3 linked regions of the Bombyx mori genome follow. The main gene of each other region encodes a partner of the protein of the gene in region 3 in a complex. Links are inferred from orthologs where the notes say so. Each region holds a gene or a part of one and is shown on either strand. Other genes may lie near its edges.

Region 1 (8,102 bases), on a different chromosome or scaffold from region 3:
ATAATATCACTATTATATCAGAGCTCATTTCATTTTCGTTTTTCGCCTGTGACTTTCGCTACAGAAAACACTTCACTCCATTCAGTGAAGCAGCTCATTAGCTACGTGATGTTTCTAGTCCAAATGGATTCTTCACTGAACGGAGATCCTACATGAAATTTAATTAAAACATACATGATATAACCAAATAAAATCAAATGGGACTCTATTATCTGTTAAGATAAAAAAATCAATTTAATTTCTTAAGCTGATTAAATTTTTTCAATTTATTTGTTATGTACATTTTATCTCGATTTCACATACCCTTTTTCGCTGATGAAAGTATGCACTTCTTGCAGCTTATGAAGAAAAAGGAGACACGTTGGAGTTCGGCGTGGAAGGCATTAGGTCCATGGTCTTGCACACCCATCCAGCGATGTCCACCTTCTCGGCTTCCGCCTTCCGGATCCACTCGTGATTCTAGTCAATTATACACATAATTACAAATTAAGTACTAGTACAGTACAAGTAATTATCAACGAGTACAAGTAATTAAGTACAAATGAAGTAAGTAATTGAGGGAAATAGAGACTAGAGTTTGTAGTAGAGTAGAGTAGAATAGGTACAAATCCTGTTGTTAGATTTAACTTTGTTGAACTGAAAATGACTTTTATTTAGTGTTTAAGAATATTAAATAGTTTAGTTTAGTCATCAAAATTTTGTAACTCATTAAAGATATTAGAAAGTTAATTACCTAAAGCCAGCCCTATCGAAAAACTCTATTGTCCCTCATACGTAATCTGATTCACACCAAAGCCAAGCCAAATCGGGTTAAGCAAATTTTTTTCAGTTTTTGTGTATATCTTGTAATTTTTAATCTCAATTTTATTGGTATTACCCTAAGAAAAACCATTGAAAATTTGTGTTGGATTTGGAAAGGGTCCCGATTTTGCCCAATCTACTTACGATGTTTGATTTACTGCAGATATGAGTGAATTGGCTGTCAACTTACATGATATTAAATGGTTACCGGCGCCCATAGACATCACACCGCCACCCAGCTTCAGACATGAGGTGGAAAGTCTCATTTCTATTGTATAACAGCTGGTCCACCCTTCAAACTGTTCTAATTGCTTCGCAGCAGATATAGGCAGGTTGTAGGACCCAATCGGTGCACAAGTAAATGTGAATTACTCAAAGAACATTTTTCTCTTCATTTTATCCTCTGGTAAATCCCTAAGTCGCCATTCACGACACCCACGGAAGTGAGAGGTTCATTTTGGTATTATGAGCTGATAAATGCTGATAATAATAATGTTATTTTAAAATAAAATAAAATATGTTTACCATTAAAGTCTTCAAGTCCGCTCTCTCATCAGGATTTTTCTTGAGACAGCGATCCACGAAATCTTTAAATTCATCAGAGAAGATGCCAGATGGAAGCTTCGGTGGTGGTTCATTAACTATGTAATCTAAGAGCTCGAATATGGCCATCGGACGCGGTGAATTCGGCGCCTGTTAAACATTCAACTATGTGTACAATGTTCTTTTTAGTTTTTACACTGTCATTTGTTAAGTACTATAAATATTAAGTCCTCAACCAATATGGAATATTTCTGTATAGTTAATATCATGAACACTTTGATGACATTAATTGAAAGTCGCTCAGCAGTTACGAATCAGTATGGGTGAACATTAGACAAACCTAAATGTTGAAAATTAATGAAACAGATCAAGTGATTTGCTGTGGTAGATTAAAAAATTGCTTTTACAATATTACTCCTTGTATGTATATTGTGAGATATATACACTGCAAAAGCAGAGAAAGAAAACTCTCTTTATCACAATTATTAGAAAAGCTTTTTTTTTTATTGCTTAGATAGGTGGACGAGCTCACAGCCCAGCTGGTGTAAAGTGATTACCGAAGCCCATAGACATCTACAACTTAAATGCCGCCACCCACCTTGAGATATGAGTTCTAAGGTCTCAGTATATTTACAAACTCTGCCCCACCCTTCAAATCGAAATGCATTACTACTTCATTGGAGGGTGGTGGTACCTACCCACCCGTGCGAACTCACAAGAGGTCCTACCACCAGTAAATGCATTGTATGCATTGCAAAATATTGGAAGCATGTTTTAATACTAAAGCCGTACATGTCTGCCAGTGGTGCTAGTTAATCATAATTAAAATTTACCTGGCCCGGTGAGTGGTCCTCATTCTGCCCACCAAATATAGCTGCCAATGTTTTAGCGTCAGGAGGTGGAATTGGATACATTCCAATGGCCATTTCGACTAGAGACAAACCCAACGACCAGATATCTGACTGCACTGAGTAATGAGTGCCTTGCAGACGCTCCGGCTGTGTAAAAAAGAATCAATATTGAATTTTAAACATTTGATTCTATTTTTCATTGATGTTCTGGTCAAATTTGAATTTAAATTTTTAGAAAAAAAATCGAATTCAACTCACTGACATATAGCTCCTGGTACCAACAAAAGAATTAGCCATTGAATCTATCAGCTGCCCCGAAACACCGAAATCACAGATCTTAATCTCGCCATTGCTGTTAACAAGTATATTCGATGGCTTCACGTCACGGTGCATGATGGCGTGCTTATCGCGAAGGTAGCTCAAACCTTTGAGAACTGCTGATGTGATTGTTCCTAAGAGTTCACAATATTATTCTAGGGTTATTCTAATTCTTCTATTAAGGTCTATTCTAATCATTGGTTATAGAAATATACAAAAGTTAGTATATATTAATGTGCAAGCTGATCACTGAAGCATTCATATCGACACTTGAAAGGCAAACGTGACTAAGCGACAATGCGTTAACTTTACAGTAGACTAATTTAAAATTGAAATACCTGAAAAAAATTCTATTTTAACGAGTCTAGCTGTAGGATTGAAATGATTTTAATAGACCTAGAAATATATTTTTTTTGCGCATCGAATATGGTATTTGCGTATCATTTATGAACAAATCAGTTATTGTCACTTAGTCACGTTTGCCTTTCAAGCGTCTATATGGTTCCAATAGAGCTCAAGCAAGCTGCTGTGTACCAACACTGCTGATTTTTTTTAGAATACCCTCAACTAACAATAAGTGGTTTAAGATTAGCTTAAAGAAAAATCAACAGTTAATATATTCTTGTAGCATTCTAGCAGAATAGGTAATTTAGCAACATTAATAAACAGATATGTGGCACCAACCTTTCAACTACAACTAATGACATATGCAATGGAATATTGCAACAAAGATACAAAATAATACAAATAGATGATTTGTATTAACATGTAAGAATTTCTAGCGATTAATTATTAATTTGATGTAGCATAGATCAATTAAACGTTACCTAAAATAGATTCAGGAATTCTTCCCGCCTTCTTCAATATAAGATCCAATGACCCTCCATCCATGTATTCCATGCATATAGAGATCTCGCCATCACTATAGAATGCTCCATAGAAGCCAACTATATGTGCAAAGTTACATTCATGAAGTACTTTTAACTCTCTGATTATCTGCTTTTTTATAGCCGGTTTCACTTCGAGATGAATCAACTTGCGTGCCATGATGAGTCCGGTAGATTTGTGACGAACTTTCATTACAACTCCACCGTTGCCTTGGCCTGAAATTTTATAATAATTAAAAGTCACTAACAATGTATATAATTAGTAATTCTTTTATATAGTTTAGTTATTCTTATTTTTCAATTACATTTTTTACTTTTCCTGAAATTACCAATTATAGGGTAAGTTTAATTAAGCATTTAAAGGTCATCACCAAGTTAAACTTTGAAGTTGTCAGTAAAGTAATTTAAAAATAGCAGAAAATTAAAATACTCACTAGTACAAATATTATTTTAGATACTTTATAAAATCACTAACCTAATTCACCAAGCTTCTCAAAGTCATCATCACTCAGCTCTCCAATCTTCTCTTTCTGACAGAGGAATACTTCTATCCTGCGCCTCTGAGTATCATCCATCTCAATTTGCTCCAGTCTCTCAGTTAAAGCCTCTATACTTGTCTTTGACTTGCCTGCTAACCCTTGCCGCCTACAACAATTTTACAGTAACATAAAAAATTTCAATGTAAATATATATGCTTATATATATTATTAAGAAGCTAGAAATGCAGTATATACTTGGTGCCATTCCATTTATATGGAGGACCATAATATCATTGTTGTGATGTTCATTGGCTATATTTATCACTATATAAAGAGGTAGGCTATGAATTTGGTCACCTGCCTAAGCAATTAACAAATAAAAACTGATAAACTGTTTAACTCTTGTAATGTAAAGCATTAGAAATGTTGGAAATAATAAAATGAAAATAATAAATACGAAAATAAACCATAACAAGTGTTTTAATGATATCTGAGAATCAAAAATTTAACTTCTATAATTATAATAATGAATTTCTTAATAATTTTAGGTTTGATAATAATACTTTACTGCTGTAAAGATTATTAAAATCCCTATTTAATAACTTCAACCTCATAACGAAGTTTCATTATTTATATACTTACTCATTTGCAGTAGCAGATTTGAGCTGTGGTGTCATGTTAGATGGCGTGGCAGCTGGGTTTGTGTCTATTGACCCTGGTGGAAGGGTCAAATTCAGTTTGTTCTTTGACATCTTACTCATTTTGATTTTTTAGATCTTCCCTCATCCATGAAGTATCTACAACAGTTGATTTATTATTAAATAAGAGGGTTTAATTTTTTTGAGGTTTTTGGAAATTTAATGACAAGTTCTAAGTTTCTTGCCAGTGTAAGCCAGCTATGCCTGCGTCTTTAAGTTTTGTGAAGACATTTTTGTTTTGGTAAATAAGCTATTTCAGGTCCTAGGTTATCTCGAAAGTGTTAAAAAAGAAAAACACTATTTTCCCCTTAAATATAATCTACTGTCTATATACTGTAATGTATCTGTACTATTGGTTTCTGATAAAAAAAACAATGTTTTTGTTGTTTGGATTATTCATTTTCTTGAGTAAAATTTTTGGTTAGAGTGCCTAATTATGATACTAATGATTAATATTTAAAATCTATTAATACTTAAACAAAAAGGATGTAGCAAGGAGCCATTATGAATTGAATTCAATTATTATATTCAAACGAAGTTTTTCTTAATTTTAAATGGAAATTTCATCGAACACCGCAAAATTTATGAACAACAAAAAGCGTTGTAAGAAAAAACAAGATTCATACTCATCAAATACCCATTTGTCAAGGCATTATTTTATAACGTTCACACAGCAACGGTATTTCTTACAAAAAAATTGAAACACAAACAAAACTACTCAAAAAGAGTCCCAAACCCAGCAATTAATGTCGGAAAAAACCTTAACTGAAAAGAAAATGTAAATCGAATATTCGTCACTCGCAAATTTTTTGCCGTAAGTAGATATGACATTTTTTTGATTCGTCTTTTGGATAGGCAAAGAGAATGTGACCCAAACAGCTTAACTACTCTTTTGAAACAAAACCTGAAGTTATAAAAAAAAAATAGAACTAGATTCTATAATTTACCGAGAAACCAAGTTGAGCAAATTTTTTTTTCAGACTACTACTCGCAAAAAATTCAAATCTAACAAGTAATAATAAAAATTATCTAATCACCAAAATATTGATAATAATAATAAATGATTTATGTTCGGAATTCTCATATCTTTTTTTCTTTCTTCAACAAACAAAAATTTAAGTAAAGGTTAAGGTAGGTATGTACAAAACAATGAACAAGAATATTGATGTTATGTCATAAATCGAAATATAATCGATTTCTTCCAGGCAACTTTATAGGAAGTTAATTTATTTCATAAAAATGATAGTGGTTATCTACGTTGCAAGTAGTACTATAGAAATACGTTGTGATCTATATGAGCTCCAGTAACTCTCTGAGCTGCTTTGCTTGTTATGCTCTCCAAGTTCTGAGCTGCTTTGCTCGTTTATGCAATTAAAAAATCAAACATAAATCATGAGAAAAAATAAAAATTGAAAAATACTATTAGATTGGAATAAGAATATTAAAATTCATTGACATGCTGCTTTAAGATATTCTTCGTCTTTTATGTATGGCAATTGGCTTCTTGCGATACCATTGTTGCCAATGTCCAGTTTATAAAAATCTTCAATTATTAAATACCTACCTTCAATTATAAAATAAATAATTAGAAAATTTGAAATTTTCTGTTATATCAAAAACTAGCAGCCCGCTCCGGCTTCGCTCGGATCTTTAGCAAAAATTTCAACGACGTTGTTTTACTTTTTTATATAAAAGAACACTTATTGTGGCATAACTATAATAGTTAGACATATGCTGTCGCGACACTTTTTGTAAATAATAATATGTTCTACAAAGTCGTAGTACATTATTTTATTCTGTCATCAATAGTTTTCGCAGGGCACGCAATGTAGTATGGATCCCAAATTTTTTTCAAAAAAGATTATAGCCTATGTCACTCGGGAATAGTGTAGCTTCCAAACAGTGAAAGAATTTTTCAAATCGGTTCAGTAGTTTTGGAGCCTATTCGATACAAACAAACAAACAAACAAATCTTTCCTCTTTATAATATTAGTATAGAAGTATAGATAATGGAGCGAAATGAGATTTAATTTAGTTTATTCATTTGAGACTGTAATCAATTGAGATGAAATTAAATGAAACGAGATGAGATGAAATAAAGGATCAGTAAGATTATGGTTATTTACTGAGACTTCAGTGGACTTTTAAGAACTTATGAAGCCACGTCCAACGGCTGTTTAATTTTTCCAAATTTGTGTATTTTAAGATGCCAAACAGTAAATAATGTACTATTATTACACGTTTAAACCTGAAGAAACACTAAATTAACAAAACTATTCAGACAGCTTTGCTCATATTCCCGCAAAAATACCTAAAGCAATTCAGTGTAATGAAGAGTGAAGTAATGTGGTTCAAAGTCCAACAGCCACTAGAGAGTATCTTCAACATAGTTTTCTGTTGAAACTATCGATCAACTTCATTCATATTGTGTAGTGGCATTTTAAAAGGACACTACTTATTATTCACAGATTAATTTACTAGTTATTTATACCTTTAACCCTTATTGTATGTTCCCACTTTGACACAAGATTGATATCTCAACCCGGAACAGATATATCAATCACTGTTCTGTACATTGTGTTTAGTATACCCCTATGAATAAATAGACTTATTATTTATTCATAGGTATACCCTAATTAACTAAATTAAATATAAACAATCTAACATCACAGCTATGTGATGATTATTCTATTTATCTTTCTTTTATAATTTCTATATCAGGATGAAAACAAAAAAAGTACAATATTAAGAAATGGGTTTATAATAATGTTGAAATAAAATTAGAACCTAGGCAATACATTAAAATAAAATCAAGCTTATTTATTTACAGAAATCACCTAATGCTGCTTGTTAATGTAACTAGCTCTAATACTAAAATAATATGCTCAAATATTTAAATATTGTTCAATTACAAATGAAATATCATATTAAATTTACTATTCAATAAAATAATACAAATGAATCATTTGCATCATATGGTCAAACATTGAAGCATTAAGCAATCAAGAGTTTTCAATTTTCTATTATATTTCAGAAAAGTGAAAACTCATGAAGACTTTAATTTAGTTAAAAACATATTTATGCCAGGCTGATTCTTTTTTTCGGGACCAATCTTTTTGTTTTCAACTTTAGGCGATTTTCCTTCTTTTTCCTCTGATTTGGGCTTTTTCTTTTTTTCAGATTTATTGTTTTGTTCACTGTTTTCAGAATTAACAGGTTTCTTTTTCTTAACTCTTTTTTTCTCTTGTTCGTCAGGTTCACTCGAAGGTTGTAAGAAAGGCGTTGGATCATCAATAACCATGGCTAGTTTCGAGAAGTAATTCCATAAAGCGTCAACGCATTTACTAGGCTTACCACCATCACTACTTTCCCAAAGTGGGCCATACATGCGTGGTTTCAGTTTTTCGGTTGGTTTCTTCATTTCAGTTTCAAATTCATCCTCTAAATGTTTGAGCCTCGCCTTCTGTGTTTCAGGGGACAGTGATAGTACGTCATCATCTTCCATAGTTGCTTCCTATGAATATT
Region 2 (7,932 bases), on a different chromosome or scaffold from region 3:
GTCATTATATCTTCATTAAGCTTCATTGATAAATTACATATCATAATGCAGTTCATAGTGGTGCCTGGTAATATAGAAAATAACTACAAAGGTATTTTAAGAATTATCTACCAGGAGACCTGGAAGAGGAATTTTATTATAATATATTTAAAGCAGGAAGACTATTGCATCAATATTTAGATTTTAGACGTTCATCATAAGCTCTGGGAAAATTCAGAAACGTGAACGAGTAAAAATATTTTATTAATTTAGTCCTCTCTTCTTTGTAAATTGCAAGGTGAGAAGTTCTCAGCGCAACTTATTTATCATTTAATACCATCAGTACAAATCTAAAATATTGTTTTCTCCTTGCTGATATCTAGATATGTTATCAAAAAGATATTGGTTTCCTATCATTTTGATAAACTTATCAAATTTGAACAGTAAAATAAGGTTAGTAATATATTTTTTTTACTTAGATCAATGGACCTGCCCACCTGCTGTTAAGTGGTAACCGAAGTCATTAGACATAACAATGTAAATGCAGTCAATATAATAGATGTTCCACCTATCAACCCCTTCAGCATCTTATTGTTTAGGCCATCATGACTTCAAATAGTATTTTATATAAGATCACTTTACAGATACGATGATAAATAATCATATTTAAAAACATGCTTTTTTCGTATGATAAGACATACATGTGTGTTTAGATAATCTTTTCAAATTTTAGACTATATTCCCTCTGCAGAACTAATTTGGGATTTTTGATTTTGATAAACAAAGAGTGCTCTTATTTAAGTGGATTTTACTAATATTTTCATTTAATTTTATTCCTCAATCTGTTTCTGTGTACAAACACAAATATTTTTTAAAGAAACTATTCAAATTCAATGATAAAGCAAATAAATACTATCATGTTAACTTAACATCAAAACTTAGAACTAAATACTTCTGATGATATAGAAATATCCCACATTCTATAGCCATATTGTGCCAAGCTAGTTTCCTTCTGTTATTAAAATTATGGTCCCAGATGCCAATGAAGATGAACAAAAATATTCACACCAATCAGAAAAACAAAACAGAAAAGAAAATGAAGTCACTCAAGGTTATTAGTTATTAAAAAAAACACATTAATTAATACTATGTTGCCCGGAATACAATTTACACCATTTAGAAGAAACAATTTATCACTACATCCTACTTAAATTGAAAATGATCTAATCACTCAAGCTTCTATGAATCACATAATATAATATCTGACCTGGAATTCATTGTAATGCATTTTCCTTTTCTTCTCGAACTCGATACGCTTTCGGCGTACTTCCTCCGGCTCCTCCATGTCCTCGTCACTATCGTCACAGGACTCCACGCACTTCGGCGGCTTGTTCATGCTGGCAGCTAACTTAGCTGCGAGTAGATTAGCATCTAATTCATCATTTGGTTCCAAATCACCGTCTACCGTCTCCGAAAAAGGCGTTTTAGGTTCTTCTACCTTCATGTGACCATAGTCCTTATTCGGTGGATGAAAAGTCTCCATAATGTTCATTTCATCAAATCTCTGTTCTTTCGCTCGCTTACTGCAAGATGGCATTCCGTCAGAGCCATCGACGCTACGAGACGTCTTCAATATGCCCTTGGAGGGTTTTTTCTGTAAATTTTGCGCCATTATTTTTGTTTATATCGGCATTTTACATGTAATAATTCATACGGGTAAAATTCAGACTTCAACTAATTTCATTTTTTCAACTTCAATATTTGACAGCTTCAACATTTACCAAAATGTCTTTTTTGACATTGTATTTGTTTTTTTTTGTTGGTTTTATCTACTGGTAAAAACAATATAGCCTATACGATGTAATGTTGTAGCAAGAACTCGTATGTTCGTACTTTGAATTCAAGTGCTCTATAGTCCAAAATTATTTACATACTTGAAACATTTTTGAAGAGAAAATTTCTTTAGCCGCATAATGCACTTTAACCAGTAAAAAAGTAAAGTAAAGTTATACTCCTATTCCACAATTTACTGTAGGTGGTAGGACCTCTTGTGAGTCCACGCCGGTAGGTACCACCACCCTGCCTATTTCTGCCGTGAAGCAGTAATGCATTTCGGTTTGAAGGGTGGGGCAGCCGTTGTAACTATACATGAGGCCTTAGAATGTATATTCTAAGGTGGGTGGTGCATTTAAGTTGTAGATGTCTATGGGCTCCAGTAACCACTTTAACACCAGGTAGGCTGTGAGCTCGTCCATTCATCTAAGCAATAAACAAAAAAAAGCATCTTGGTGACGCGACACACAAGATTTCACCCATCCAAAAAGCGTCTAACGCATACAGTCAGGTATATATTATGACGTCTTATCTTATACGTGACGCTGCAGATGCGCTAGTTTGTTTGCTTAGTGCGAGTTTTTATACTTTTCAATCGCGTAAAAGTTAACTCAAACTTGCATGGTTTTTTTTTTTTTTTTTTTTTTTTTTTGTCAGGAGGAAATCGCCGGACTCCCACCCTCCACTGGGGATGGAGGGTGGGGCATGTCGGAGTCGAACCGACTAAAACCTCCTGTCGCTCAACAACCAACGTCCAACCCTCGCATGAGACAGAACTCATGAAAAGGCAAGGGGAGGAGAGTGAAGCGTTTAGTGCGGAGCACATCTCTCCCATCACCCTCCCCCTCGGGACGCCGGGCCAGCGATCGTCGGCGCCACGACCACCAGCCCTCTCGGTCGGCAGGCTGTCCGAAGCCCGCCTAGATGGCGCCGGTTTGAATTGGTTATCCTACGAAATACCCCGCTGGGTCAGAACCAGCGTGGGTCGAGGATAGCCGGCCTTCCATCACCCGGATGCTCTTGCGTAAAACGCGTGCAGAGCAGCTTGCACGTCGTCTTCTTAGGCCCCCTTCGCCGGGCCCCAGACCGACATATGAGGGGGACCCGAAACACTTAGAGGGCGAGGGCTAGGGCGAGATCCGCCTCCCTGGCCCCCGCTCGACGGCGGCGGGCTTGTGCGTCTCTCACGCGCCCCGCCGCCTCCTTCTGCGAGATGGTGCACTCGCAGAAGTCGAGCATCGCCTTCCACGACTCGTCGTTGCCGAGCATCGATGCCACAACACTCGGCAACGACAAGTCGTTTCCTATTTTTGCGACAAGGACACGGCGCCACCCCTCCCATGCGGGGCAGGCAACGAGCGTGTGCTCCGCCGTGTCCAAGTCGCAACCACAATGGTAACACTCTGCCGTCGGCTCGGCTCCGATCCGGTGCAGGAACTCACCGAAGCAACCATGCCCAGTGAGCACCTGCGTGAGCCGGAAAGTGAGGCGTCCTCTGTCACGATTCACCCAATCCACAAGAATCGGGCGAATCGCCTCGACGGTCCTACGACCAGCCGAAGGATCGGCCAGCCGCCTGGACCATGACTCCAGCGAAACAGCGCCCCTAGTGGCAAACGAAGAGACGCTGTTCCAACCGCACTAAGTACAGTGGTATCTGAGTACTAGTACGTTCTACGTATATATTATGTTCTAATATGTTCTATTATTGTGTGCAACTTATTACAACTAAAATTCATTGGATTTAGAAAAAAGTTATTTTATACTAATTGGTATTTGAATTAAATTGTATTTCTATTTCATGATTTGGCATTATGGGCTATGTTCCCATCGACTGCCAATTGGACTACTCAAATTGAAAAAAAAGAGTACGTTTATATTGTTTTGCAAAATTATAAATCGTAAAATCACATATTACATACACATAATATTTACACTAATTATTATTGTACAGGATTTACATACTTGAACCTCTAAATTATTGTATTTGTAGTAAATAATTTATAAAACTGTAACTTTGAAAATGGTGGAAGAACCGAATCTTAATTCAAGTAAACCCAAAGTTAGTATTTTAAACATTTAAATTAGGCGTTTGTGTAGACCAACGATTTTAAATAAAACAAAATCTTATATTTTGCCGAAATTCGAACCATAAATTTCCTAGTACTATAACAGTTTTTGGTTAATGAGTCTATTTCAATGAATTTTCAGGCGAAAACGACCCGTCCCAAAGCTATATATTTATGGACAGAAGCCGACGTCCAAAAGTGGCTTCGACGCCACTGTAGTGATTATTATCATATGTACTGGGAGAGTTTTCACGAGGTAATATTTTTCATCCAATTAACAAAGCTTCAAACTTCAAAATCGATTAAAGAATTTTTCAAAATTCTTAGAATCATTCATAACATTGAGTGCAAAAATAAGCTAGTCAATGAGCTATTTATTGAAATATATGACCTAATTGTAATACACTTGATTAGTGAAGAATTATGAAATGAATAATTAACATAAAAATAATTAACACAATTTCAGCATGACATAACAGGTAGAGCTCTAGTCCGTATCAATGACAACACATTACTTCGAATGGGTATCAACAACAAAGATCACAGGGAAGCCATATGGAGGGAAATCTTAAAACTTAGACTGAAAGCTGACATAGTCGAGATCCGTGATTTAGAACGTAGGCATAACTATTTTAATTATGACTTGTGACAGGAGGAGCCTCTAGTTGAGGAACCGAAGACAATTGAACAAATAACATCACAGCTTACTGTATGGGGATACCTGATTAATTACATATACACTAAGTGCAATGCATTTGTACGTTTTCTCTGTGCCTTAGTAGAAATATTCAGAGTATTCAATGCTTTACAGAGGTGACAACTATAATCTGCAGCCGATAGGGCTAACTCACTTTATTCACTCACTAAATTCCATAGTGATAATCCAGAAGCTACCTACTGTAGGAGATTTAATTTATACTATATGTCATAAACATGATTGAAGTTTCAGATTTCAGACAGATGTTAACTAAAATGTCAATAATGCTTTACCGTATTACTGTGTTCATAACATAGAATGGCTGTGGTTATATTATTTGTTAATCTATGTTTTTAGTATTTCCGAACTGATATTAGTGCACCTTGATGTATATTAGTAAATGCTCACAGCTATTAGTTTGTAGGTCTATTTATCCTGACAGTTCTGCCAGTCAATAGTAATAAAATCTTGTGTGACTATTAGCTAATTAGTGATTTTGTTAGCTAATTAGCTTGAACAGATTATGCAAGTTTGATGTACCACTTGTTTTATGAATGTGCAAAGATTTAAAAAAAAACTGTTTATAATCAGTTGTAACATACGTTTTGAAAAAGAAAAAAATACGACAAACAAGACCTAATATGCAATGCAGTTAAATGCTTGAGCAATCAGAATTTGACAAAATTTCTGACATTGAAATCATTTTTTGTCGTTTATAAGGTGGGTTCAGCCCAATAGACATACATGCAAATGTCTCATTTGAATGTTAATTCATCTTGTACCCTTAGATTTAAAAGTCAAGATGGGAATTAATGTCAGGGTTAAGTTAGAAAATGATAAGCGCCTAATGAAACTAGATCAAAGATTGAGAAGAAGCAGCAGTAATAAAATAAAAAAAATTGACAAATCAACTTCTTGTTGATTTGTTTATTTTAAAACACATTAGTGTGTTTCGTCCGATTCCTTTTAAAAATTTATATGATGTTGTTAGTGCTCAATTTAATTTAAAGGAAACACTATTTTATAAATAAATAAAGAATTACTTAACAAAAATGATAAATTTATTTATATGTTATTGTAATTTTTTTATAATATACTTATTTTTAGTGAGTGGTGCTGCTGTTGTATTAAGTGTTGGACTGAAGTTTTAAAGAGTATTTAGTGTTGCATTATTATTACCTTTAATGTTCACTTTGATGGAATTCAAAGGAGGTGGGCTATTTTAAAAAATGTTAATAAAATAGATTTTAGTTTTTGTGATATTTTTTAATGAATCACTCAATTTTAATGTCAATTTTGTGAAAATACTTAAAGCCTATTGTGTATATGTTTACAATAAGTGAAAAAGTAATACACTAAGTTGTATTACTCAATCTTTCAATTTATTTCATACAAAGTACTACTAATATCTGCAACATTTGAAACTAAACTAAATAATTATTTTAATACGTAATGTATATTCCTTCCATGCTTTAATTTAACCTTGTAATGAATTCCTTCCGATAAAATTAAAGATAAGATTAGTGATTTAGGCATATATTCATAGATATTATTTATTAATATTGATTTAAAATATCAAGATATTGTAAATTGATATTTTATTTGAAGGTAAATTTAATGAAAGTATTTTTTTTGACAATAAAAATATTGTAATAATAAAAGCAATCCAAAGATATAATTATTGTTTTAGTTGCATTGCTATGCATTTATATAATATCATAAATTGTTCGATTGGAAAAACCTTGTCGTATCAATCTGTTGAAAAAGTCATGATTATAATATAGCGCGTAAATGAAATGTCCTTAAACCGGAATGGGAATAAGCCAATACCTTATGGTTATCTTTACACAAATGACGATTACTTTCAATTGATTTCCAGTAGGGAAACACGAAATAAAAGTAACGGAGCTTGCAGGCATCGCGCGCCTTTCCTCAAGTCAACATTCCGCGCTGTAGATGATTTTAAATAATTCAGTGTGCTTAGTGCGAGTTTTTTAACGTTTTCGATAGCGTAAAAGTTAACTCAAATTTGTATGGAGTTGGAACGCTTACCTACGTTTGCCGCTAGGGGCGCTGTTCCAACTGCATACAATATTGAGTTAACTTTTACGCTATCGAAAACGTTAAAAAACTCGCACTAAGAACACAGTTTAAAATAAGTAATAAAAATCAATCAGTTTTATATTTCGGTCTGTTTCGTCTATGCCGGGTTCTGCCGGGAACGAAGCCCGGCAACGCCGACATATTGTTGCAAAATGTTCGTTGATCAATCACTTTTATTTTTGCTTTTCCAAATACTGGTACGGTGAACAGAAAAAAACACAATGGCACTGAAAAACCAAGGTTTGTATTAATTTACTATGGTGTGGGTCGTTTGGTGATAGAAAATAATTGTGCCCACGATATTCCACTGATGCTATAATCTGTGACTTCACACATTTCTACCAGGAGGGGGGTGTCTACCTAATATCTAAAGGAGCAGAGAGCGCCCGTCTATTCCAAAAACTATCAACAGTAAGATTGGACAAGTTCAATATGTTAAAATAATCACTATCGAATCAACTATAATCGAGTCCGCGACTAACTAGTTCCCCGTCTTACATTGATGTATTAAAAAAACCCCGTCTTAACAAATAGAGTTGTTTTTAGATTGATCTACCTTAGACTGCTGCGTCCATTCTCTAATTTCTCGCTGACTAACATCAAGTGAGTTCGTCATGGCCTAAAAGATAAGACGTCGGTGCATTCGTATCGAGCGATGCAACGGTGTTCGAATCCAGCAGGCGGGTACCAAATTTTTCTAATGAAATACGTACTCAACAAATGTTCACGATTGACTTCCACGGTGAAGGAATAACATCGTGTAATAAAAATCAAACCCGAAAAATTATAATTTGCGTAATTACTGGTGGTAGGATCTCTTGTGAGTCCGCACGGGTAGGTACCACCACCCTGCCTATTTTTGCCGTGAAGCAGTAATGCGTTTCGGTTTGAAGTATATGAATATATGTACCTATACGAGGGCTGCACTAAAAGTATCGGGAATGGAATATTTCCACTGTTCCTGTCATATTAAAATCTTTTCAATTGAAAACTCCTTGGTTTTAAAAATCGAATACCATTTATTTATTTAAAAAAAGATCCTCGGTCGGAAAGATTGGGCACTAATATATAATAATGGAAAAAAATTCTAACTGTATGTGCTATGTACCTGCCGATTAGATATTCCCATGGCCGCAACAAACATACTAAAATTACGTAAATTTGACCTTATAGGTCTAATTCGGTTCAGAATATGTAGTCGACCTCGAAGTTCGGTGAAATATGTATAATGATGTATGCAGTCGGTCTGTA
Region 3 (7,330 bases):
TTCAAACAATATCGACTACCACTATGTGCATATATGTTGCTACTAGATACGGCTACATGCGCAGCACTAGAGCTCCGTCCCCCTCGCCGCGCTCGCGCCCCCCTGCCGCCCCCGCCGGCCCCCCCGCCGCGCCCCCCCCGCTGCTCGTCGCCGAGGCCGGCTCGTTCCCCGTGCTGCGCGCGGTGCCCCGCCGCCCGGACCGCAGCGAGCCCACCTCGCCGCTCAAGCCGATGCGGACCATCGACGCCGGACAGGTAGCAGCACTCTGCTACTAGCGGACTAGTGTAGTCATCTAGCGGAGCTAGCGGTGTGGTGCTCTGCGTCACTCTGCGACTCGCCCACAGCGGGCCCATGCTATAGATCGGCTCGTGTGTTCGTCATCACTGGGGGAGTCGGCGATTGTAAGAATGGTGCTGTTTTATTGTAACATTTTAATTTTAAAACTCAGTTATTCCTCATCACTGGCGTCAAGTAATAATCCGGCTGAAGATGTTGCGTAGTGTGTCACGGTCATATCAATCAGATTTCAGTTCCGCTCCGGCACATCACGAAGCACGATATCAAAATGATCCCGAACGAGGTGATGCACGAGCTGCCGGCCATCAACAGCGAGGCGGACCCCCCGGGCGCCCCCGCGACTCCGCGACCCGTCGACGATCACCACTCCTCACGGCCTCTCGCACTGTCGCCCACTAGTGCCGTGCGAGGCATGTTCCCCTCGTCCAAATCCAGGAGTCTGAAAAAGAAGAGCTCCATACTGGCCAGTGAGTTAATTCCAACAGCACATACAAATTGTCAATTATGAGTAATATAGCTATAAACGTTGATTTGGTATTGTTTTGAACAACGAGTGGCATTGCGTGGCTCAGAGCGCCGGCAGGTGGCGGCGCGGTGGGTGGGCGCGCGCGGCGCGGGCGGCGCGGTGTGGCAGCGCGTGCGGGCGGGGGGCGCGGCGCCGCGCTGGGTGGCGCGCACGCTGCTGCTGGCGCACAACCTGCTGTACGCCTACCGCTCGCCGGAGGTACGTGTCCCCGCCCCGCCCCCGCCCCCCGCGCGCCGCCCCGCCTGTACCCGCCCCCTTTGTGCAGTGCTCGAAGGCGGACTGCATGATCTACCTGGAGGGGTTCACGGTGTGCGCGGCGGGCGAGGTGAAGTCCCGCGCGCACGCCTTCAAGGTGTACCACACCGGCACCGCCTTCTACTTCGCCTGCGAGTCGCGGGACGACATGCTGGCCTGGATCCAGCTCATACACCGCGCCACGATGCTGCCCTCCCTGGGCCACCAGGTACTGTCCACTGAAAAAGTCTCAGTAAATGACCACCATTTTACTGAGATTATATTTCATCCCATATCATCTCATCTCATTTCATATAATTTCATCTCAGTTGATTGATGTCTCAAATTAATCATCCTAATTTCATTTCACTCCATATTATCATTTTTCATAAAAATAAGAATATAAATTAAAATAAGACATGACCTAAATAAAGGTATTAGTTATCAGGTCAAAAAATCCGTTTAAAAAAATAAAAATACTTGTTTCCTCCCTAAATTTAGGGGGGAGAAATACAAAGTTGGGAACCCGGTCGCTTTTGTTTTGTAATAATAGTGGCATATTTTGACATTTTTGCCACAGAGTATAAAAGATCAGCAATGTCGGAACGGCAAAGGAATATTTTTATGCAGTTCGTAAACATGACGCCACCACAACATTTTCCCTTTTTAATTATTTACTCACAAATTAAGTGATGTAAAATTATAAGAATTACATATTTTAGCTCAGAATAAAAAAAATAAAGAAACGATATTTTTATGCATGATGAAGTTTTGAAAGGATAATGTCCATTTTCTTTGGGCGTTTGGGCCCCTAAAAAAAGTTGTCGTGTCATGATGGTTTTAACTTAATTTGATAGACAAAGAAATATCGTTTCATATTCAGAAAACGATTTTAATATTTTCACCCAGGTTTAAGAGAAATCTGTTTTTTTCTGCAGCTAAAATTAAATTGTTGTTTTCTTCGAAAATCGCTCTCATAATTAATTACAGTGTTAAATAAGTGAATTGTGGTTAATGTTGCTAGAAATAAGCCCTTATGTACGTTTTATTATTATTATATCCTCATATTAATAATAAAATGAAGGTGGTTTCTGAGAATGGACTTCATTGACCCTTCTTTCGGAAATGAAAATCCAGAAGCCAGCAACGATATTGCTGTTGTTGTTTTTGAATTCGCCAATAGGCAGGCAAAGAGCGTAACCTAAACAGCCTAGTCTGTCGTAGTTATATTATTTTTATGTTAATAAAAAGCCGGTGTATCTCTTTTTATTGCTTTTTTGGAGTTTTGACGTCAACTCGACGAATAGCACATTGACTGAGCGTGAGTTTCCGCAGACCTTTTATCTTGAAAAAAAAAAAAGAAACAGTCACTGCTATGTTAGCCACAGTTTTATTTCAATATCCACAATCGTGAATAACGGTTATTGACGTTTAATACATCAAACAACACCCAATTTATATATTATACATCACAATAAACTATTAAAAAAACATTAAAATAAAACTTCAAGTGACGCTTCACTCGGGTTGCTGCCAAAACTCTGACCATAGATAATAAGAATAAGTAATGGTGGGCCATTGAGATTTTTACTAATGGAATCATTAATGTCTAAAAATGTTAAATAATTCATGGTTTTAAGTAATAATTATTATTACAATATATAAATATTGAATTGAACAAAAATAAACTAAAAAAGTCTGTGAATTATAACCGTTCCGTTAGCTTTTTTTTTAATTTGTTGTTCAAGTCAACATCTCTTTCTTTTGGCAGCATTTAGGTTTACTATAAGTCTGTATGGGCTAGCCCTTTGTCTGCCTATTAGCGAATTTAAAAACTATGAATGATGGATGTACTCAGTTTTCGGATGTTATCAAATAAGTAATTTATTTTTTTGTAAAACAATGCCAGGGTGAAAGAAATTTTGATACATAAACTAAAGAACGTGAAAAAATAAGGCATGTTTTTCAAGTACAAATAGTTTTGACACAAAATTGGCCCACTTTTGGGCATTGTCCTATTGTCAATTGAATTGTGTTATTGTAGTATTAAAGGACACAATTTGTATAAGATGAGTTGCCCACACAACATACGTGTTTCTGTCGCGTGCTTGCAGCTGGACGTGTCCAAGCAGTTCTCGGAGACGGACTACTCTGAGACCGAGTCCGACAGCGAGAGCCCCGACAAACGGAGCGAGAAGGAGAAGGAAAAAGATAAAGAAAAGGACAAAGATAAGGAAAAAGAGAAAGACAAAGATAAGTCCAAGTTCGGTTCCTTAAAGAAACTAACCCACATGATGCAGCGCAGCGAGTCGCAGGAGATCGTCAGCCACTCCTCCACCAGCCTCGACAGGAAGTACCTGAGGTTCTTCCTCAGGAACAAGAGCAAGGACGAGACCAAACCAGCCAAGGTCAGTCGAACGCCGTCTCCGGCCACGCTCGTGGCCCCCCCTGTCCCATACCCGCCAGTTCTGTACTGCGCACTGTGACCTGTCGCAGAGCAAGCCGGCCCCCCCGGAGCAGGCGCGTGGCCCCCCGGAGCAGGCGCGCGGCCCCCCGGAGCACGCGCGCGGCCCCCCGGAGCAGGCGCGCAGCCCCGCCCGCGCCCCCCCGGAGCCGCTCGCCAACAAGATACCGAAGCCGATCAACTACATCCACGCTTCCAACCCGAACCTGCTCGATTTTGAGAAGAGCGACTTTGTGACGCGCCCCACGCTGCGGGTCCCGCGCCCCGAGCCCAAGGTCAGCGCCGCTCACACGCACGCACACGCACGCACGCACACACGCGCGCCGCCCGCGTGCTGACACGGTTAAGTCAACCGGGCTCAAAATCCCGTAAAGTTTTGTAAATTGATTGAGTGAATCAGAAAAACAATTAGTTCGATAATTTTTACATTACTACTACTACTGCAGCTACTTTTACACTGCGGGACATAATGTTCTGTTAACTTGAAACACACTCTAAATCGAGGTACGAATTGTTGGATCTTGCAGCACGCACCGGTACGCACCGGGACACCAGTACGGCATTGTATGGGAAACATAACATTAAGATAAAGATAAAGAAGCCTTTATTAACAACCTTAATTCATATTTAGGTACATTTTTCTTTTCATTTGACATCCGCTAAGATTGTTTTGCTTTCGCATAGACCTCCCCCAAATCCTGCCATAAGTTCCGGTCGTGGCATTTCCTCTTCCACGTAGAGCAGGTCCTCTCGCAGGTCTGCTGGAAGAGATTTCTCAAAGAAATAAGCAGTGCCTTTGTACATAATTTTCCTATTACTCTGTACTGTGTCTTGTTTTCTGTGTGTACAAAAATAAATAAATAAATAAATAAAATAAATAGAGCCTGCAACGGCTTTTATATCGTCTACCCACCTTTGGAACGGTCGTCCTTTTAATCTTTTCCCCTTTTGAGGGTACCATTCAGTTACTAATGTAGCCCATTTTTCTGTTTTGCTTCTTAATAAATGACCTATCCATTTCCACTGTAATTTTTTAATTGTGTATGTATGATACATCCGTTACTTTTGTTTTCATACGGATATCTTTTAATTTTATTTTATCCTTTATTTTAGCATGTAGCATGCTTCTCTCCATACTATGTTGGCATGTCTGCAGTTTTTTGATGTTCTTCTGAGTTAGAGCCCAGGTCTGACACCCATACGTCATAGTCGGAAGTATATTTCTATTAAATACTTTACTTTTGAGTGGTAGTGGAATAGACCCGTTTTTTGTTATTACTTACATACATATTTACGAACATAACATTAAGAGCATCTTATTCATAATCTAAATTACAATTAATCTGTTGTCCTCAAAGTCGACGGCCGCGCCCCACTGCAGTCCCGGCCTGTAATGTCGCGGGCGGAGCCCGTGCCGTTGTTAAATTTTTTTTGCAAAGTTATTTGAATTAATGTTATATTAAATGACTGTCTCTTGGGGAAAAGCGATTTTAGTCTTTTCCTAGTACTAAAGAGTATCTCCCATCTCCTTTCACGGCTCGGAGACTGTTTTTTTTGCTTTTATGGTTGGATGAGCTCACAGTCCACCTGGTGTTAAGTGGTTACTGGAGCCCATAGACATTTACCACGTAAATACACCACCCACCTTGAGATATAAGTTCTAAGGTCTCAGTATAGTTACAACGGCTGCCCCACCCTTCATACCGAAACGTATTATTTTACTGCTTCACGACAGAAATAGGCAGGTTGATGGTACCTACCCGCACGGACTCACAAGAAGTTCTACCACCAGTAATTACACAAATTATAATTTTGCGGGTTTGATTTTTTATTACATGATGTTATTTCTTCACCGCGGAAGTCAATCATGAATTTTTGTTGAGTACGTCTTTCATTGGAAAAATTGGTCCCTGCCTGCGGGATTCGAACACCGTTGCATCGCTAGATACGAATGCACCGGACGTGTTATGCTTTAGGCCACGACGACTTCAAAACGACTGTCTCGCTGTAGCGCGGGTTGCTTGTTGCAGCTGGACAAGGGCCCGGGCGCGGTGACGCTGGAGCAGTTCATGCTGGAGAAGCAGGCGGAGGAGCGGCGCCAGCTGTACTCCGAGCGCGTGCTGCTGGGCGTGCGCCGCGACCTGCAGACCAGGCTCGACAGCATCGGTGCGGGCGCTGCAAGCTATTTATTTACTTATCCCATTCAATTCAAAAGTCACGCTTACAGTTTGCACCAAAACGCCTGACTGGTTAACACAAAAAACATTGTTAAAATTATTAAGTACTATTATTATGCTAAAGATAGCATTATTTTGGAAAAAAGTGTTCCCCAACTATCGGCAAATACGTCACAGCGCAATCGCTCTGGCCGCTGGACAGCTCCTAGCTCCACGGGTCCTCAGCCCCGCCCGCGCGTGCTGTTGCCCGACGAATAGTGTCGTTTGCCAGTGCAGCGCAGTGCCAAGGAATTATTGACTCTATTCTGTAATAAAGAACAGTAACGTACGAGTAGATGCAACTTAAGTTGCAAGTACTTAACGCTGCGTTTTAACGTCGCGCTCTGTGCACGTCACACAAATTGACTAGACGAGCCCAACGCTCCTTGACGCAACGTAACATTCGCCAAATCATAGTGCTCTCCGTGCAGTGTGAAAATTTAAAGATATTAAGATGTCGAATGATTCAGATGTGGCATTGTATAAGCGCGAGTATTTTCCAACTAATTCTATCAATTTTTCGGGCATTATCCAGTATTTTAATACATATTCACTCGGACGCTAAAATAAAATTTGTAAAAAATAACAACGCCTGACGTCTAGCGTCCTAACGCGGCCTTAGAGCGCTGCGTACTGCTAGCGCTGGCGCTCGGTCTGACACTTTATTACCATACTAGTACAACACATCTCGGCGTCGTAGCGCGCCGTCAGTTTAGCGTTCTGACGCGCGCTAAGTACGCGTTCTGTGTGAAAAACACCTATTCTCCGCTGAACCCCTCAGCCGCCGCATACAAACCCTAATGGTGTTGCAGGCCGGAATGCACCTTCCTCGTTTCATTTTAAATTATTTCAATACATTTTCACGTCACAGCTTATTGAAGTAAACCATTGTAATAGTTCCAGATGTAATCTACGGGGAAGTGCGAACGGGAAGCAACTCTGCAGTGCAGGGGCGCGCTCTGCCCTCCGCGCCGCCCTCCGCGCCCTCCGCGCCCACCACCGCACCCTCCGCCCACAGCAGCACCACCCCCAAGCCTGTCTCCGTCAGAGGGAGGGACGGGTGAGTGGCATATGATGTCCGCCGGCGGAGACTAGTCCCCACGCTGAGTCAATGTTGATAAATGTAATTTCCCAGATACGAGAGGCTGGTGTACCGCGCGGAGGAGAAGCCTGCCTGGGGAAGGAATCACAAGGTGAATATGACCATGTTTGTGGTAGTCTACATAAGGCAAATAGTACAATGCGGCCCGGGAACGGCCGCTCGGGTCGAAATATGGCCACTACCCTTCAAAAACTTTATCGAATAAAATAGCTGAACAGCGGGTAGGATCTGTCTATGAAATTACAATGATTATTTTAAAATCGATAGTTTGATAACTATGTACATACAATTAACTCTGCCAGATATCTACAGTTTAATTAATCCTATTTTGATTTTCTTTAGCATTTTTAAACTTTCGATCAAAAGAGATCCAGAAACAAAACAGCGTTGTTTCCGAACTTCAACAAATATATGCCTATACGAGTATAACTAAAGAAGGAAATAAATTGGTATAGTTCTTAATTGTGAGCAAGAAACATAAACTGATGAGA

Evidence for each region.
Region 1: the proteins of uncharacterized protein LOC101745226 (region 3) and Mek are in contact, whole or in part, in a cryo-EM structure (PDB 8BW9), measured with the Drosophila melanogaster proteins. The link is inferred for Bombyx mori from reciprocal best matches to the Drosophila melanogaster genes cnk and Dsor1. Residues at the interface, in NP_001286524.1 of Drosophila melanogaster: Arg46, Tyr48, Arg72, Tyr76, Thr92, Lys95, Asn96, Arg99, Arg103, His117, Arg121; in NP_511098.1 of Drosophila melanogaster: Arg200, Gln255, His258, Gln262, Tyr319, Val321, Asn322, Glu323, Pro324, Lys347, Gln348, Asp350, Glu351, Arg352, Ala353, Asp354, Lys356.
Region 2: the proteins of uncharacterized protein LOC101745226 (region 3) and protein aveugle are in contact, whole or in part, in a crystal structure (PDB 8BW8), measured with the Drosophila melanogaster proteins. The link is inferred for Bombyx mori from reciprocal best matches to the Drosophila melanogaster genes cnk and ave. Residues at the interface, in NP_001286524.1 of Drosophila melanogaster: Pro47, Glu51, Leu56, Arg57, Ile58, Gly59, His60, Gln61, Glu62, Leu65, Glu66, Glu69, Lys110, Ile111, Asp112, Thr113, Leu116, His117, Ile119, Thr120, Arg121, Ile123, Lys127, Val130, Glu134, Arg139, Arg145, Cys148, Gly149, Leu152; in NP_725413.1 of Drosophila melanogaster: Tyr24, Gln51, His52, Asp53, Ile54, Arg57, Ala58, Arg61, Ile62, Thr63, Ser66, Arg69, Met70, Glu79, Trp82, Arg83, Val86, Lys87, Arg89, Leu90, Lys91, Asp93, Ile94, Glu96, Ile97, Arg98, Met100, Glu101, Leu103, Asn104.

The regions. Positions count from the first base shown.
Region 1 is NC_085127.1:6,271,382-6,279,483, forward strand, and holds the start of Mek (MAP kinse-ERK kinase), read right to left. Parts: upstream 5,420-8,102; 5' UTR 5,204-5,419; intron 4,677-5,203; 5' UTR 4,641-4,676; coding exon 4,522-4,640; intron 4,049-4,521; coding exon of another isoform or gene 4,046-4,048; coding exon 3,876-4,045; intron 3,617-3,875; coding exon 3,341-3,616; intron 2,648-3,340; coding exon 2,454-2,647; intron 2,343-2,453; coding exon 2,178-2,342; intron 1,495-2,177; coding exon 1,327-1,494; intron 460-1,326; coding exon 340-459; 3' UTR 304-339; intron 1-303. Other genes in the region: chromatin assembly factor 1 subunit A, read right to left, coding at 7,624-8,091. UniProt on the Drosophila melanogaster protein: Required downstream of Raf in the sevenless (sev), torso (tor), and Drosophila EGF receptor homolog (DER) signal transduction pathways.
Region 2 is NC_085109.1:14,221,730-14,229,661, reverse strand, and holds protein aveugle, read left to right. Parts: upstream 1-3,655; 5' UTR 3,656-3,835; coding exon 3,836-3,874; intron 3,875-4,023; coding exon 4,024-4,137; intron 4,138-4,347; coding exon 4,348-4,530; 3' UTR 4,531-6,256; downstream 6,257-7,932. Other genes in the region: protein phosphatase inhibitor 2, read right to left, coding at 1,247-1,651. UniProt on the Drosophila melanogaster protein: Required for normal photoreceptor differentiation between Ras and Raf for EGFR signaling in the eye and for mitogen-activated protein kinase phosphorylation. Probably acts together with Cnk to promote Raf activation, perhaps by recruiting an activating kinase.
Region 3 is NC_085128.1:245,812-253,141, forward strand, and holds part of uncharacterized protein LOC101745226, read left to right. Parts: intron 1-46; coding exon 47-254; intron 255-523; coding exon 524-764; intron 765-869; coding exon 870-1,021; intron 1,022-1,088; coding exon 1,089-1,286; intron 1,287-3,171; coding exon 3,172-3,465; intron 3,466-3,553; coding exon 3,554-3,796; intron 3,797-5,551; coding exon 5,552-5,687; intron 5,688-6,634; coding exon 6,635-6,797; intron 6,798-6,872; coding exon 6,873-6,930; intron 6,931-7,330.